Linked DNA regions of Lonchura striata. The protein of the gene in region 1 interacts with the protein of each later gene in a pairwise test. Links are inferred from orthologs where the notes say so. Each region holds a gene or a part of one and is shown in the gene's direction. Other genes may lie near its edges.

What was found.
Region 2: the proteins of TRIM32 (region 1) and PTCD2 interact in binary tests that used the Homo sapiens proteins (3 or more experiments, as listed by UniProt). The two-hybrid records come from large-scale screens. The link is inferred for Lonchura striata from reciprocal best matches to the Homo sapiens genes TRIM32 and PTCD2.

What each region holds. Positions count from the first base shown.
Region 1 is NC_134624.1:2,534,057-2,541,249, reverse strand, and holds the start of TRIM32 (E3 ubiquitin-protein ligase TRIM32), read left to right. Parts: upstream 1-4,188; 5' UTR 4,189-4,229; intron 4,230-7,125; 5' UTR 7,126-7,192; coding exon 7,193-7,193. UniProt on the Homo sapiens protein: E3 ubiquitin ligase that plays a role in various biological processes including neural stem cell differentiation, innate immunity, inflammatory resonse and autophagy.
Region 2 is NC_134642.1:15,213,236-15,221,095, reverse strand, and holds the start of PTCD2 (pentatricopeptide repeat-containing protein 2, mitochondrial), read left to right. Parts: upstream 1-4,816; coding exon 4,817-4,922; intron 4,923-5,578; exon of another isoform or gene 5,579-6,202; intron 6,203-7,240; coding exon 7,241-7,333; intron 7,334-7,860. Other genes in the region: MRPS27 (small ribosomal subunit protein mS27), read right to left, coding at 2,916-2,993, 4,655-4,718. UniProt on the Homo sapiens protein: Involved in mitochondrial RNA maturation and mitochondrial respiratory chain function.

The sequences.
Region 1 (7,193 bases):
GAGTGAGTTTGGCACATCCATCCATGTGTGCAGGAAGGATGGGACAGGACAAAAGGGAATGTCTGGCAGAGAGCAGGGTTAGATGGGTTATCAGGAAGAAATTCTTTCCTGTGAGGGTGGGCAGGCCCTGGCACAGGGTGCCCAGAGAAGCTGTGGCTGCCCCTGGATCCCTGGCAGTGCCCAAAGCCAGGTTGGACAAGGCTTGGAGCAATCTGGGATAGTGGGAGGTGTCCCTGCCATGGCAGGGGGTGGAACGAGATGAGCTTTAAGGTCCCTCTCAACCCAAACCATTCTGAGATTCCAATTTTGGCTGACCCCAGCCAAACCACCAAACAACCGTCGACACCCCAGCCCCGGAGCTCAGCGTGGGCTGGGCACGGGATTACTCCCGAGGCGCCTTTAGGGACGCGCGGCAGGAGTCCCGGCTGGGAATGTCATTCCCGGAGCTCAACGTGCCGGGGGCTGCGGGATGGGAGCGCGGAGCTCGGGATGGGAGCGCGGAGCTCGGGATGTGGGCGCGGAGCTCGGGATGGGAGCGCGGAGCTCGGGATGGGAGCGCGGAGCTCGGGATGGGAGCGCGGAGCTCGGGATGGGAGCGCGGAGCTCGGGATGCGGGCGCGGAGCTCGGGATGCGGGCGCGGAGCTCGGGATGCGGGCGCGGAGCTCGGGATGGGAGCGCGGAGCTCGGGATGCGGGCGCGGAGCTCGGGATGCGGGCGCGGAGCTCGGGATGGGAGCGCGGAGCTCGGGATGCGGGGCCGCCGCCGGACCCTCCCGGCGGGTCCCGGCCCGGCGGGGCAGCGCGGCCGTGCCGGTCCGCGGGGCCCTGCTGCCCTCTCGTGGCACCGCGGCGGGACGGCGCGGGCATCATCCCGGCGTGGGGAACACATCCCGGGATGACGAACACATCCCGGCGTGGGGAACAGCATCCCGGCGTGGGGAACACATCCCAGTGTGGGGAACAGCATCCCGGCGTGGGGAACACATCCTGGCGTGGGAACACCATCCTGGGATGGGGAACAGCATCCCGGTGTGGGGACACAATCCCGGTGTGGGGAACACCATCCCAGCATGCACACCATCCTGGCCTGGGCACACCATCCCAGGATGTAGCACACCATCCCAGCTAGAGGCACACCATCCCAGCCTGGACACACCATCCTGGCATGCACACCACCCTGTTCTGGGCACACCATCCCAGGGTGCAGCACACCATCCCAGGCTTGGCACACCATCCCGGCGTGGGCACACCATCCCACACATCCCACCGCCCTCGCCCCGCAGCCCCTCCACACCATCCGTGGGGTCTCATCCTTCCATCCTCATCCCAGCCTCGGTGAGGGGAGTGTGGCACAGCCAATGTGTAACATCCCCTGGGTGTCGGTGCTTGATAAACTCCTGAGAGTGTGGCTCTGTGACCTCTTTTAATCTCCTATTTATAGAAAGTGAAGGGGCTGGAGTGGACCTTAAACATCATCCCGTTGCAATCCTGTGCCAGGGGAAGGGATGTGTCCCATTAAACCAGGTTGCTCCAAGCCCCATCCAACCTTGCTTTGAGCACATCCAGGGATGGAGCAACCACAAGCTCCCTGGGCAACCTCTGCCATTGCCTCACCATCCTCATAGCAATAAACTTCTCAATATCTAATCCACGTTACCCTGTTTCAGTGTGTACCCATAACTCCTCATCCTGTCACCACAGTCCCTGGTGAAGAGTACTTTTATGCCCACACTGCCTCTGCCCTTCACACCCCCTCTCCCTGATGACGCTGTGCCTTCTGCTCCCAACTGATTAACCAAACTCAATTAAACACAATCCTGACATCCAACACCAAGGTGTGAACAGAGAGTTGCACCCCCGTGCTTGTGACTGGTGGTGTGTGTGACCCCCAGGCTGCCACAGCCTCACTGCCCAGGGATGACCCCAAAGATATCCCCTTGAGAAGGCTGTCCAGAACAGGGAGTTAAAGAAGAAAGCAGGGATTTATTCAAAGCATCTCCTCCATGGATCCACCTTGGGCAGCACCAGAGCCCAGCCAGGGCTGCACCCAAATGACCCAAAATGGTCCCAAAATGCACGAGCGCTCCCGGGGCTCTCCCTGGGATCAGTTCTGCTCCATTGGCACCTTGGAGTTCATTGTCCCATTCCAGCTTCAGCCCAGGCAGTCCCACCCTGCTTGTTTTTCTCTCTGCAGCCCACGGTGTTTGTGCTCCTGGGCTGAGGTTTGGATCATTTGTCCTTGGTGTCCAGCTGGAAAAGGAATTGTTTTGTCTCCCTGCTCTGTGCACAGAGCTCAGCATCCCCTCATATGAAGCTCAGAACTGCACTAAAGCAGAATCTGAAAAACAGAACAGCTAAAACCTGAGGCATCACCAGCAAAGAGAATCTGGGGGCAGATCATCTCTTGTGCCTGCAGGATCTCACCTCAGCTTCAGATGAGACATTTGCACACTTGCAAGCCTGAGGTATTAAGAAAAAAGAGCTCTTAGAGACCTCTGATAACCCTCTATAGAAGGGGATTTTGAGAGTATCCCCTATAACATAGCTTTGGCAAAGGAACTTCGGCAGGGTGACCAGGGTCCTGGGCTGGACAACCTTCCCATCCTTCCTTGTCATGTAGGGTCCCCATACTCACACATGATGGATAACATCGTCAGCTGGTCATTGTCACCTCTAATTAAATCCAGAGAGTCCTTTGTTTACTCCCCAGGATGCATTGAAAGATTATTTCCTATTTCTACCATTGTTTTTTCCTCACACTGTTCATTTTCAGGTGTGGGTGGCCTCACAAGTTCTGCCAGACCACCCTGGTTTCAGTGTTTACATCCATTCTACATCAGGGACTGAAAAAAGCATTTCCCTGGTGAGGGCAGGAACTGGGAGTGAACCCTGTGTCCCCTCCCTGGGCACAGCAACACACCCAGGGAGCCACTGGGGTTTGAAACAGGGCACTGAGGAAATCTCACTCGTTTTCTTTGCTTTGCATCTGCGTGCATCCACTGCCCACACTGCTGCTCCCTGCTGCTCCAGGGACATAGATCCCATCTGAATGATCTGTTGTTTTCTAAACAAAGTGGAAAAACCACCAAGAGCAGAAGGTGGCCAGACTTGCTGCATGATGCAGGCACTTTCTTCAGCGCAGGTCGGGCGGCTGCAGCAGGTGAGCAGTGGAAAAGCGCCGCAGGCAGAGAGGCCACGCGGAGGGAATTTGGGAAATGGTTAAACTGAGCACTCGCCTCTTCCCCAGGCAGAGAATTCCTGCCAGCCTGACCTCCAGGGGATGCTGCCTGTGGCACTGGGGGTGTGAAGGACACTGTTCCCCCCCGGCACAGGGAGCCCCGAGCCCTGGCACTCCTCAGTTCGCTCTGCAGCCCCACAGGGGCACAGCAGAAGGGGCTCTCTGCCACCCCTAAACAGATCCATGACATCCAAGCAAAAATGGGGTTAGAACGGGGTCGGTGCTCCTGATGGTGATACTGGCTCCGGGAAACACGGGGCAGAGCCCAGCCATAGGCCAGTGGCCAAATCCCTGACTCTGGCCACCACTGCCAGCCTCTCACGCTGCAGCTGTGCCCAAAAATAGTGATTTTGGTCCTGGAGTCCACAGGCTGATCACAGGTACGGCATCAAAGGAGAAGCACACGTTTTCAGGAGGTGATGCAAAACCTGTCAAACACTCAGGAACCTGCTGGGGGAAGGGAAAGGGAGAGGAAAAGGGAAAAGGGGAGGGGGAAATGGGAGGGAAAGGAAGAGAAGGGAATTCAAGGCAAGCAAGGCAAGGGAAATGAAAAAGGGAAAGGAGAAGAGTAGCGAAAGGAGAAAGGAAGGGAAAGGGGAAAGGGAAGGTGAAAGAGAAGGGGAAGGGGCTGATCCCACAGCATCAGTGCGTGATCAGGGAAAGGGCAGTGAGCAACCCACGCGTGCCAAAATGACACATAACAACGAATTTAAAAAAAAAATAAAAACGAAAACACACACAAAAAAAAAAAAAAAAAAAAAAAAAAAAAAAAAAAAAAAAAACCAAATCCGAAAAGACGTTCCTGCTTTCCCCTCGTTACTTTTAACGTTTCCTTTCACACCGAGCCGCAGCACGGGCCCGGCAGACCGAGGTCCTGCCCTCAGCCACAGCCCCCGCGGGACTACATCTCCCGGCAGGCCCCGCGGGCGCGCCCACGTGAGGCGCGGCGCGCGGCGCACGCCGGGAGCGGCGCGGCCCGGAGCGGCGGCAGGTGAGGAGCGCGCGCGGGGCGGCGGCGGCGGCGCCCCCTGCAGGGCGGGGCGGGCACGGCGGGACCCCCGGGCGGGCGGCGTGAGGGGACGGGCGGGACAAGATGGGATGGGGTGGGATGGGAACGGCATGGAGGGGATGGAAAGGGCCACGGGGCCGCGCCCGCCCCGCTGCCGTGGACCCCACGGCCATGGCGGAGCTGGGCGTGGGCTCTGTGGGCACACCGGGGCAGGCAGCGGCCCCTGACGTGCCCGGGCCGGAGCAGCCTGGCTGGCGGGACGCGTTCCCCGCCCATGGCAGGGCTGCAGCCAGGGCATCGTAAAGGTCCTTCCAACCAACCCTTGCATTTCTCACTGAACCCCAACAAACCCTTGGATTTCTCACTGAAACCCCGCAAACCCTTGCCTTTCTCAGTTAAACCCCCCCAAATCCTTGCATTTCTCACTGAACCCCCCTCAAATCCTTGGATTTCTTACTGAAACCCCCCTCAAACCCTTGCATTTCTCACTGAAAACCCCCCCAAACCCTTGCATTTCTCACTGAAACCCCGCAAACCCTTGCATTTCTCACTGAACCCCCCCAAACCCTTGGATTTCTCACTGAAACCCCACAAACCCTTGCATTTCTCACTGAAACCCTGCAAACCCTTGCATTTCTCAGTTAAACCCCCCCAAATCCTTGCATTTCTCACTGAAACCCCCACCCCCAAACCCAGGGTCTGGCCTGTTTGTTTTGTTGTTGTGATAACTCCTTTTGCAGCATTACCCCACTATTTTCCCTCATTAATGACACCAGCTCTGAATCACAAGTGAAGCCGGTGTTCTCACCGCAGACACACCGGCTAACAGAAACCACGGCAGGAAATTTCTTTCGAATGTAAGGAAGCCGAACTCGCATAATTCACGGTTTTATGGGCTTGATCCTCAGCTGAGGCTTTCTGTAACACCCTGCTCTGCGTCAGAGGAGCTGCCCCGGGAGGGACCGACACGCAAGAACAACTCGCTGTTAAGGAAACTTCCATGGAGGCACAGTCGAGTGTGAGAGGGAGATAAAAGGAAAAATAATGTCCCGTTACTGAGGGCACGCTGACATTCTGATAAAGGGGGTTATACATGAAAAGAATGTCATAAAAAACAGCTCTCTAAAAGCCCAACCTGACTTAGAATCCATCTACATTCTTCTTAAATGAAAATACTTGTTTTAAAGGTAGCTTTTAATATAACTCTTAGTACTTGGTGCCTCTGCTACTCCCTCGTCCTTCCCTAAGCAAGTCTTTTGACGTGTTTCCAAGGAAAGTAAGAATAATGAACCTGGTATCCTGTGTTCATTTTTTAAAATAATTTTAAATCACAGATTTTTCCTGCCTCGGAGGAAGGTTTCTGTTCTCCATGGCAGTGCCCAGGTTTCTGCTTCCCTGGGGCCAGGGCCGTGCTACTCAACTTGCCACTGTCGAGCTGAGCCCAGCATGGTGCCTGGAGATTCTGCCACACCACTGAATCCCTTCCTGAAATACAGCCTTTAAAGGATTCTGAACTGCAGCTGACAAATTAAAATTAGGGGGCTTTCTTTCTTTTCTGTATGAGCATAAAGATCTTTTCTTCATTGCAGTTGTTTTCCGGCAGAGGAGCACACAGCAAACTGAAATACACAGAATTTTTCCCAAAGAGAAAGGCAGCAGAGCCAGCAGGGAAGTGAGAATGCTGTGTCCATGCAGCCATTTCTCAGAGCTGTGTGTTCACATCTCTCTGCCACTGTGTCTTCATTTCAAAGACTTAACTACTTCCTTCTCCTCCTCCTCTTCCCTAGAAGAAAGGTTTTCTTCCCTATTTTTTAGTGGCTAAGCAGTACAATAACAAAGGATTTGAAACCCAGTCTAGTGAATAATAACTTAATGATGTGAGCCCTGTTCTGTTCCTTTTGAATGGATGGCTGCTTTGGCAGGAGAGCTGCTGGGATCTGCTCCCTGCTGGGAGGGATGTGAGGGTGGAGAAACCTGGATTGAAGCTGAACAGCAACCAGAGTGGTGTAAAACTGAACCAGGGGACAAGAACGAGGTCAGCGTTGCGAGATTGTGAAACGAGGAGAAATTAAACGCAGTTAAGCTGAGTTCAGGAGCTAATAGTGAACACTGGGAGTATGTTTGGAGTTCAGATGTTTGGAGTTGTCTGTTAACTCCATTGTTGCTAATACCTGCCTGAGCTGTGTTTAATTGCCATGAAGCATGGTGCAGCATGGCAGAGGTTACTGAGATGCACTGCCATCAAACCTTCTCTGTGTGTTTTCAGCGTGCACAGTCACTCCCAGAACTAGTGGAAGTTGACAGAGCATTCCTGCTACTTTCACTTCCTGGCAAATGTATGAAATCTCGAAAATGTGTTTTGGCTCTCTAGCAAAGCAGGGTGAACTGAGCACATTTATTTTGTTGGTATCTGATGTCACATCTGAATTCAGGTCTCCAGAGGTGATCTATTAATGTCCTAAAGCATCGCACCATCTGGTTCCTCCTTTGATGTGCAACATTTTGAATGCCTGGTTTAATCTCCCTGGGTTTCAGTAAATTATGTAAACTCGGAGGCTTGGCAGCAGGAGATGGGCGCCATGAGGAGATGATTCAGTCATCAATATCTACTGGGCTTCCATATTGGTGCCATTACACTTCTTTCAGTGCTACTTTACAAATTTTGCAAGTGAATAATTCATCGCACTGGGAGCTGCAAGTTAGTTTTGAAGTTTGCCCACCCTGAGATTAGCTATGACTAATCCATCCTTCCCAACGTGGAAAAGCTAACTGGGTTTCTTTTTCTGCAGGGTTAGGCGATAAGTCAGAAATAAATTGCATGTATACATAACTGCTGGTGGTGACATAAATCACATTTCCCTTTTTTCTTCCTGGACAGAATCGGAGCACCTTGGAATAGATGTGAGCACAAGGCACTGTGCTGGATAAAGCTGCCTTGGAGCACCA
Region 2 (7,860 bases), on another chromosome or scaffold:
TACATACTGCAAATGCTTTTGTCTGACTCATCAAAAAACACACTAGTCTATAAAATCTCTCATATATGCTGCCTAAAAATATATTTCTACATAAATACATTTCTCCATAAATTCAATTTCTCTAAAAATGTATTACTGCATATTCAAGAACTAATGAAATTAACAAAACAAGCCATAAGTATAAGCTTAAGTAATTTAATTTCAGGCCATGACCTTCACAGAGGTCTTATATACACTGATATACATTATCGTGTATTCTCATGTTCACTTTTATTTTCATTTCTTCATAGAAACTCAGTATCTTGTTGCCTGCAACAGGGTGGCTCAGAAAATACTGATCCTCACCTTCCAAATCAGTGGCTATAACTTCTAATACCAGTTTGGTGGCCTAGGAAATCAACATAGTTTCAGTTTGATTCACAGTGTGTACCTGTCCACAGAATGTAGCCACACCAACAAGCAGCACATTATCAATATGGGGCACATTTGGCCACCATATAAGGTCACTTTTATTCTACTAACACCCTTGTATTCTTAGAAATGGTTCACTCAAGACAGAAGTCTGATCCAGTGGTGGGAAATGATGACAAAACTGATACCTGTCCTGAGAGTGATGGGCAGAGCTAATACCTTAATTCACAGGCTAACTGGTGCTATAAAGAAAGGCGTGTTTTAATTTTTTTTTTTTTTTAACTAAAATATAAAGGCCGAGACAAGTATTTTACCTTACAAATTTATATGTTCCACATTTAACTCTGTATCCACATAGCTGGAAAGAACAGCAACTTTTTACTTTACAAGGCTTTGAATGGAAATTATTTATGTTTGTAAGGGCAGCACTGCCACCTGGTGTTGCAGATGAGCCAATTTAGGCACTGTGAATCTTTGTAACAAAAAAAAAAAAGAAATTTCCTATATCACCTGGATTCTGCCATCCCCTGGGATTCTGGGTGCCTTTTTACATAATTTTTAATAAATGGAATCCATATTACTTCTAGGCAGGCATCTTCGTACCAACAAGTAAATTGCAGATTCCAAGTTAGGAATTGAAAATGTGTTATCTCCTTTACTAAAGGCATTTTGGTACAAAAATACAGTCATGCTTTTTCCCATACATTTTTCAGTAGTGAAGTTTGCTAAACTCATTCGTATCTGGATTCTAAACTGAGGTTACAGTGAAGACAATAAATCATATCTTACATGGACACAGTAAACGAGTATCTGGGATAGTACATCACTGCAGCAGAGAAATGGAACTGACTTTAAATCAAAATATACTTATTTTGCCTTTAAAAGTATCCTCACAACATAGTTTTGCATAACAACAGTTCTATACTTATTTTGCCTTTAAAAGTATCCTCACAACATAGTTTTGCATAACAACAGTTCTAAAACAGTGTCTGTTCTGAAACACAGAAATAAAAGAGCATTTCCTCAACACAAGGAACTCACTCAGCTATAATCACCAGCCAGTACATACAAGTTTATATGTGCAACCAGACAACTGAGAGCTACAGAGCAGACGTCTGCAGGACTGTCTCCTCTCTGAAAATGCTAATACAGCTGACACCGTGCTAACTTGTTTTCTCTTTTCTGTGAACACAAAATAAAAATGCAAAGCAGTTATTTGAAAATCATGGAATAGACATCTGCTCTGGCTCAAGACCATCAGCAGAGGAGTAGCAAGAACTGTGCCTGCCAAACAGTCACAGAAGGTCCTGCCAGGCCTGGAGAAAGCCAAACAGGGACTGTACCAGCACAGGCACAACAGTGGTTTTTCTACAGTAGATTTCTACTGGCTATGACAATTGCCAAATTAAGAACGCATTTTCACCTAGAGATGACTAGTTCAAATGTATCCCAGGGCATAAATCTGTGGCTCCAGCCCAAAAGACACAGCATGAGCAGTCCTATTGATAGCAAAGTGTTACAAGGTATTAACAGTCTCTGCAGGATCCAAGCTACATACATAAAGATCCACCAGTTTCTCACCCGTGTACAGTACACATTGACAATTCCCACCTAAATGTTCATTGGCAAATAAAAAAAATAAATTAGTGCATAAAAAACATCAGTCTGATCATTCTGTCTGTCCTGCCTGACAAAAGCCCTTGAATTTCACCTGATGATTCTTTTTTCAGCCCCATAATCTGTTTTGCAAGTAACAACCACAGTTCAGGGGCCTAGTAATGAAAACAGACCATGAATAAAGGAGTCCCCAAAACACCTGTGGTGCAAAATTTTAAAAAAAAATCCATCTTTAGCACAGAAAAATGCTTTGCCCTTAACACCAAAAAGGCAGTGGAATTTAATTTCAAATGCAATCTATTTAAATAATTTAGCTATAAAATTTGCACAGGAGATCTCAGCACCATGTAAAGATACACTTTAACATGTAACCTCTTGAAAATAAAAAGTTTAGCTTCATTCCCTACTCCCTCCTAAAAAAACCTCTATAATTCAAGAAGAAACTGTAAAACCCTGAGGAAAATTTCCTCTTTAAACAAATGTTTTTAAATTTAATTGTCCTGTAATACTCAGATCATTTTTGATTGTCCTATAATACTTAGATCATTACCAGAATACCTTTTTTTCACACTGCAATACCGTTAAAACAATGTCAATGACATCAGTCAGAGATAGTCATACACTTTGAATTCCGTGAAAGAAAAAAAATCAGCTCATATAAACTAAACCTTAAGTAAGCAGGGGAATTCTAATTTGTTTCTGCACCATGGCCTTGAATACATATGGCAAATTTTTAACATGTTGAGTGCTTTTTGACACAGAAGCTCAGAAACATTGTTTCACACCATTTTTTATTTTGAAGGATTTACAAATAATAAGGTAGCCCAAAATGAGCTCAGGTTGTAATTAATTAGACAAAGTGGAGACAAGAAACAAACTTTTCTCACCAGGATTATGCTCCTCTTTTTTTCTTTTTTCCCATTTTGAGCTGTCCACATAGGCTGAAGAAAGAAGAGATCTTCGACCTAATGAGCAGAGAAATCACTATGTAAGCTGGGTTGCTTACACAACTCTAAACAAACATTTTATTAGGTACCACCTTCTTCTGTCATATTTGCCAAGTGGAATGCATTAAACTGTCTTTATGCCACAACTATTAATGTAACAATTCAGATTCTTTGTATGTGGATCAACTATTATGTTGTAATATTTAAAACTGAAAAGCTTTCCCCAAAAGCTTTTTTTCAGCATGAAACATGTATTTCCAAACCTAAACTTTGTATTTAAGAAAATAACAGATTTGTAAAGGTAGAAAAAACCTCAACAATAAAAGCAACTTCTTTGTGCACACAAACCTTCTTCATCAAATGTTAGCAATTAGCTAAATGTAGGTTAAAAACATAAGCAAAAATAAAAACCACACAAACATGCTTTTCTGTTGTTGCTGAATGGTTATTTCCACCTATAAAGGCATGTCTCACTGAAAATACTTTCATTTTTATAATCGCCACTCTTCCATATCCTATGAACTACAGACTCACTGAAATATATTTGTAAGCTTTTTCCAAACATTCTTTGTACCACTGCTCAAGATGCTGTGCTAGCTTTTGAAACAAAACAGAAAATGCTTCAGCTGGAAGAATTTGTGTATCAGTCATAGATGATGAGGTCTTGAAAATGCATGAGGAACACCTGGATAAAACTCACTGAAGGAAGATAGAGAAATACATGCAGAAAAATCACAGGAAATAATGTCATGAAATAAGAATATTTTAAAAAGAGATGCTACAATGCTATATAGAAGTCTTAGCAACTACTTCAAAGCCTGTACCGAAATACCTATCTGCTAGCACTAAAAGTTTCCCTTGTGAAACAATTCTTCCTTCTTATCACCCTTCTGACACACAATATACCCACACATCCTGCACTGAACATCTCATGAAACTATCAAAGGAAGATTCAGAACACAGACTTCCAGACTTCAAAAATATGTATAACACTATACCAAACAGAATAATAATAATAATTAAAAAAAAAAAAGTATTTCTGGTTTGTGGCACTTCCTTTAGCAGTCTTTTTAATTACGTTGATAGAAGAGACATATAAAAAAATCGGGGGGGTTGGTGTGGCGGGCTTTGGGTTTTTTATTGTCTATTTTTCCCTTCACAGACAAAAAGGCATTCATTCACTGACAGCTAAGGAGGCCGCTAGCCATCACGAGGCGTTCCGGGCAGTTCCGAGGCGCAGGCCGCGGTGCCGCTGAACACGAGCCCGGCGAGCGCGCACCGCCCGCAGCCCGCCGGGCCAGCTCTGCCCGGCGGCCCGGTCTTCGCTTTCCCGAAACATCGGCTCGGCGGCCTCTGTCACCGCCGGTACCAGTTTTCCTAAGCGCGCACCGCCGCGGGTCTGGCGGCCTCCCGCGCCATCCCGCGTGGCTTGCCCTAACCCAGAAAGGCAGCTCGAGCTATGAAATCCATTGCCTATTAAAAAAACGAACTGCGAACGGCCTCCCCCTCTACATACTAGCCATTAAACCTCTTCTGAGCTACCCCCAACTCCACACATGCACATAGCAGGAGACGAGGAGGGAAAGGTGAGTCAAGTCCCTACGCAACAGCCCGTCCTTGCTCATGCGGCGACCAGCGCGGCCGCGCCGCGCCCCCCGCCCCGCCAGCAGCGCACCGACCTGGGGCCGCGCCGAGGGCGCTCCCGCTGCAGAGCACGGCGCGCCGGAGCCCGGGGGCGGCCATGGCGCCGAGGCCGGAGGAGGCGGGCGGCGGAGCGGGGCCGGCGGCGGGCGGCGGAGCGGGGCCGGCTGCGGGCGCCCCGCCCCTCGGCCCGGCCGGCGATGGCGGCGGTGCTGGCGGGCGGCTCCGGGCGGGCGGCGCGGCAGGCGGCGCGGCGCTCGGCGGTCCGGCCGCCCGCCGCGGGCGGCTGGGGCTGCGCTCCCGGAGGTACCGCGGCTTGTGCGGCGGGGGTGGGCGGCGGGATGCGCGGCCGGGGCGCGGGGCTAGCGGGGTACTGCAGCTCCGGGCAGGCCCGCCCGCGCTGCCGGCTCTGTGCCCGACGGGAGCTGTAGTTCTGCGCGGATGCCCCGCTCGGCGCGGCGTGCTGTGGCGGATTGTGCTGCGGTGGACAGGCCGAGCTGGCGGCAGGGGTGCCCTCCGGGGAGGGACATCACAGAATCGGTGCAGCAGTCACGTAATGGCCTGGGTTGGAAGGGACCTTAAATATCATCCACTGCGTGCCATGGGGACACCTTCCGCTAGACCCCGTTGCTGAGAGCCCCATCCGGCCTGGCCCCGAGCGTGTCCAGGAATGCTAGATCCACAGCTTCTCGAAGCACCTTATTCCACTGTCTTCCACCCTCCCAGTAAAGAATTCCTTCTTCATATGCTACCTAAACCTATTCTCTAATCAAAGCCTTTCTAGTCGAAGGCTTTTCCCACGTGTCCTAGCACTGCACGCCCTTGTGCCCGTTCCACTCCAGCTGTTGCAGGCCCCACTGAAAGGCTGCCCTAGGGTCACCCAAGAGATCAGTGTTAATCAGCATATCCCCTGCTTGCTACTCTCAGGATATGACATTAAAAAAAAAAAAAAAAAAAGAACATAAATGTCTATTTATTCTGGGAGGACGACAGCCTTATCCAGACCTGGGTTTCAGAGATAAGGAAGAAGGGACACATGGAAAAGAGGTGCATGGCAGAGGGCTCCCCAGCCTGGGCCCTGGCTGGGCTCTTTGTCCTGCTGTGCCAGCAGTGCTCAGGTTACACCTCTGTTATATCCCTCAGAGACATGGAGACCACTTTCTCTGAGTGGTGTTCTGCCCATCCCCTTCAGGGACTGCCATTTAGAGGGTTGCAGTGTGCCTGACCCTAAGCAGCTTGGTCAAGTTCTCTGGAATAGTTTGCACCACCTGCATATGCTAGCTCTCATACTCATCTCCCTCCTTTTCCTTGGCAGACCCTATGGTTTTGAAACATTTCTGTAACACTCTAAGGTATGAGTCTAAGGAAGCAGTACAATTCAGAAAATTGAATTCAAGAAAGATAAAATTATGCTGCCCTAATCTCTGTATTGACACTGACCACTGAGAGTCCATGATGTGTGGTGCACCAGTCCCACCCCAAGCACAAGCAAAATTTCTGCACCAGCTTTGAAGAGGCCCTTTACAATGGTCTTTCAGTGGTAGACCAACAGAGATCTGTGGAAAGGAAATGGCAGTGTAATACAGGTCAGTTTCATGCTGAATAAAATGTATTTGTTTGTCCCTTGGAACTGTTTCAATTAAATTTAATGGATAAATGTGCCATTTAATGGATTTTTTTTTCAGATTTTATGAAGCGTGTCGTTATCATGCTTCACTTGCTTAGAAAACAAGTGTTTTTATTTATATGGCCAGTTACGTTTTCCAAGGGATATGCAGAATGAGAATAAACAACCTTACTCAGTTCAGTACTTACTCTTAAGCTTTCATGGTTAGAATAATTCCTTATAAGCCAAAACCTTAAAATATTAGATTGTAAGCTGTTATTGTGACTCTCTGTTACAAAGTCAGTAGTTGCAAATAAAAATCATCTGGACACCTGTTTTTGTGACAGCAAAAAGTTGTCAAATAGCTTTTGCATGATGCTTGTTTTAAAGCAGCTTGCAACACAGTACAGTTGAAGTCAGCACCCAAAGTTAATTTTGACATTCTAGACTCAGTGACTGTCTTACCTCTGATGTCTGTACTGCAGCAGAACATTACTAGGTCTCCAGAGTGTTGCAATCCAAATAATACACTTGTTTGTTTTATAGATTAAAAAAACAAGCTTCTTGTGACTTTCTGCTGCATTTAGAACTTCCAGAATGTTTCATTTTATAGTAGCAAGAGCAGCACCTGTGGGATAAGCAAGTTGTGCCATTAGTGAATTGTGGAATACAAAGGAAAAGAAGACAAATCCTTATGAAAGTGTAAAGGAGGGAGCAGGAATTTTTTGCGGAATCTTCTTGTACTTTGGCTTGGTGTAGAGGAATGTGGTCTCTAGTTTTTCTTTTGCACATCCAAGAACTAGATCCTTCATCCTTGTACACATAAGCTCTGGAAAGCTGTGACATATTATTTGGGTTCTTTTGTCAGTGATGTGAGTAACTGCAGGTTTTGTATAGTGTTCTATCCCAATGGTCTGGCATTGCACAGTTGTCTGTAATTCATACATGCTAGGTTCTGTACTAATAAATCAAACAATGTAACATAAAACTCTACCTTCCTCTTTTTTTCTTATGGCAGGGAAGCGGTATCTGCTAACAGAAGAAGATATAAAGTTACAAGAATTTCAGCAGATGAAAGTGGCAATTAGAAATGAGCTTCATGGCAATAAAGGTATACCCTTTATTTCATAATTACCACTTTAGCATGAGTCTTAGGAAACAAATAGTCAAAGTTGTAACAATATGACACCAATTGACCTCACTTAAAGAAACAGATTATGTCTTCCTCTTGCAAATATTTTGTACTTAACATTATTGGAAGATGCGAGGCTTTGTAGAATGAAACGTAGTATTAGTTATGCTGTGTTGAGAATGCATGTTGAGAAGCTTTCATGTATGTGAGGTGTTTACACAAGACCTGAAATGTTTGTACGCTCACTTTTCCAACTTTATTAGCTAGTCTAATAAAAAAAAAAAAGCATTTCAGTCTACAAAGCTTGCTTCTCATATGACACAGAAAGTTAACACAGAGCTAAATAGTTACCTTACTATCCATAAAAGGGCTCTCACTGTAATTTTTTTAATTCTGCTCCCTAAATTTTGTTAGCATATTTTTAAATTTTTTTTGTCTAATGTGCATTTTCACTTGTACATCTGATTCCAAATGATATATGCTACTCAGAATATGGAAAACAAATT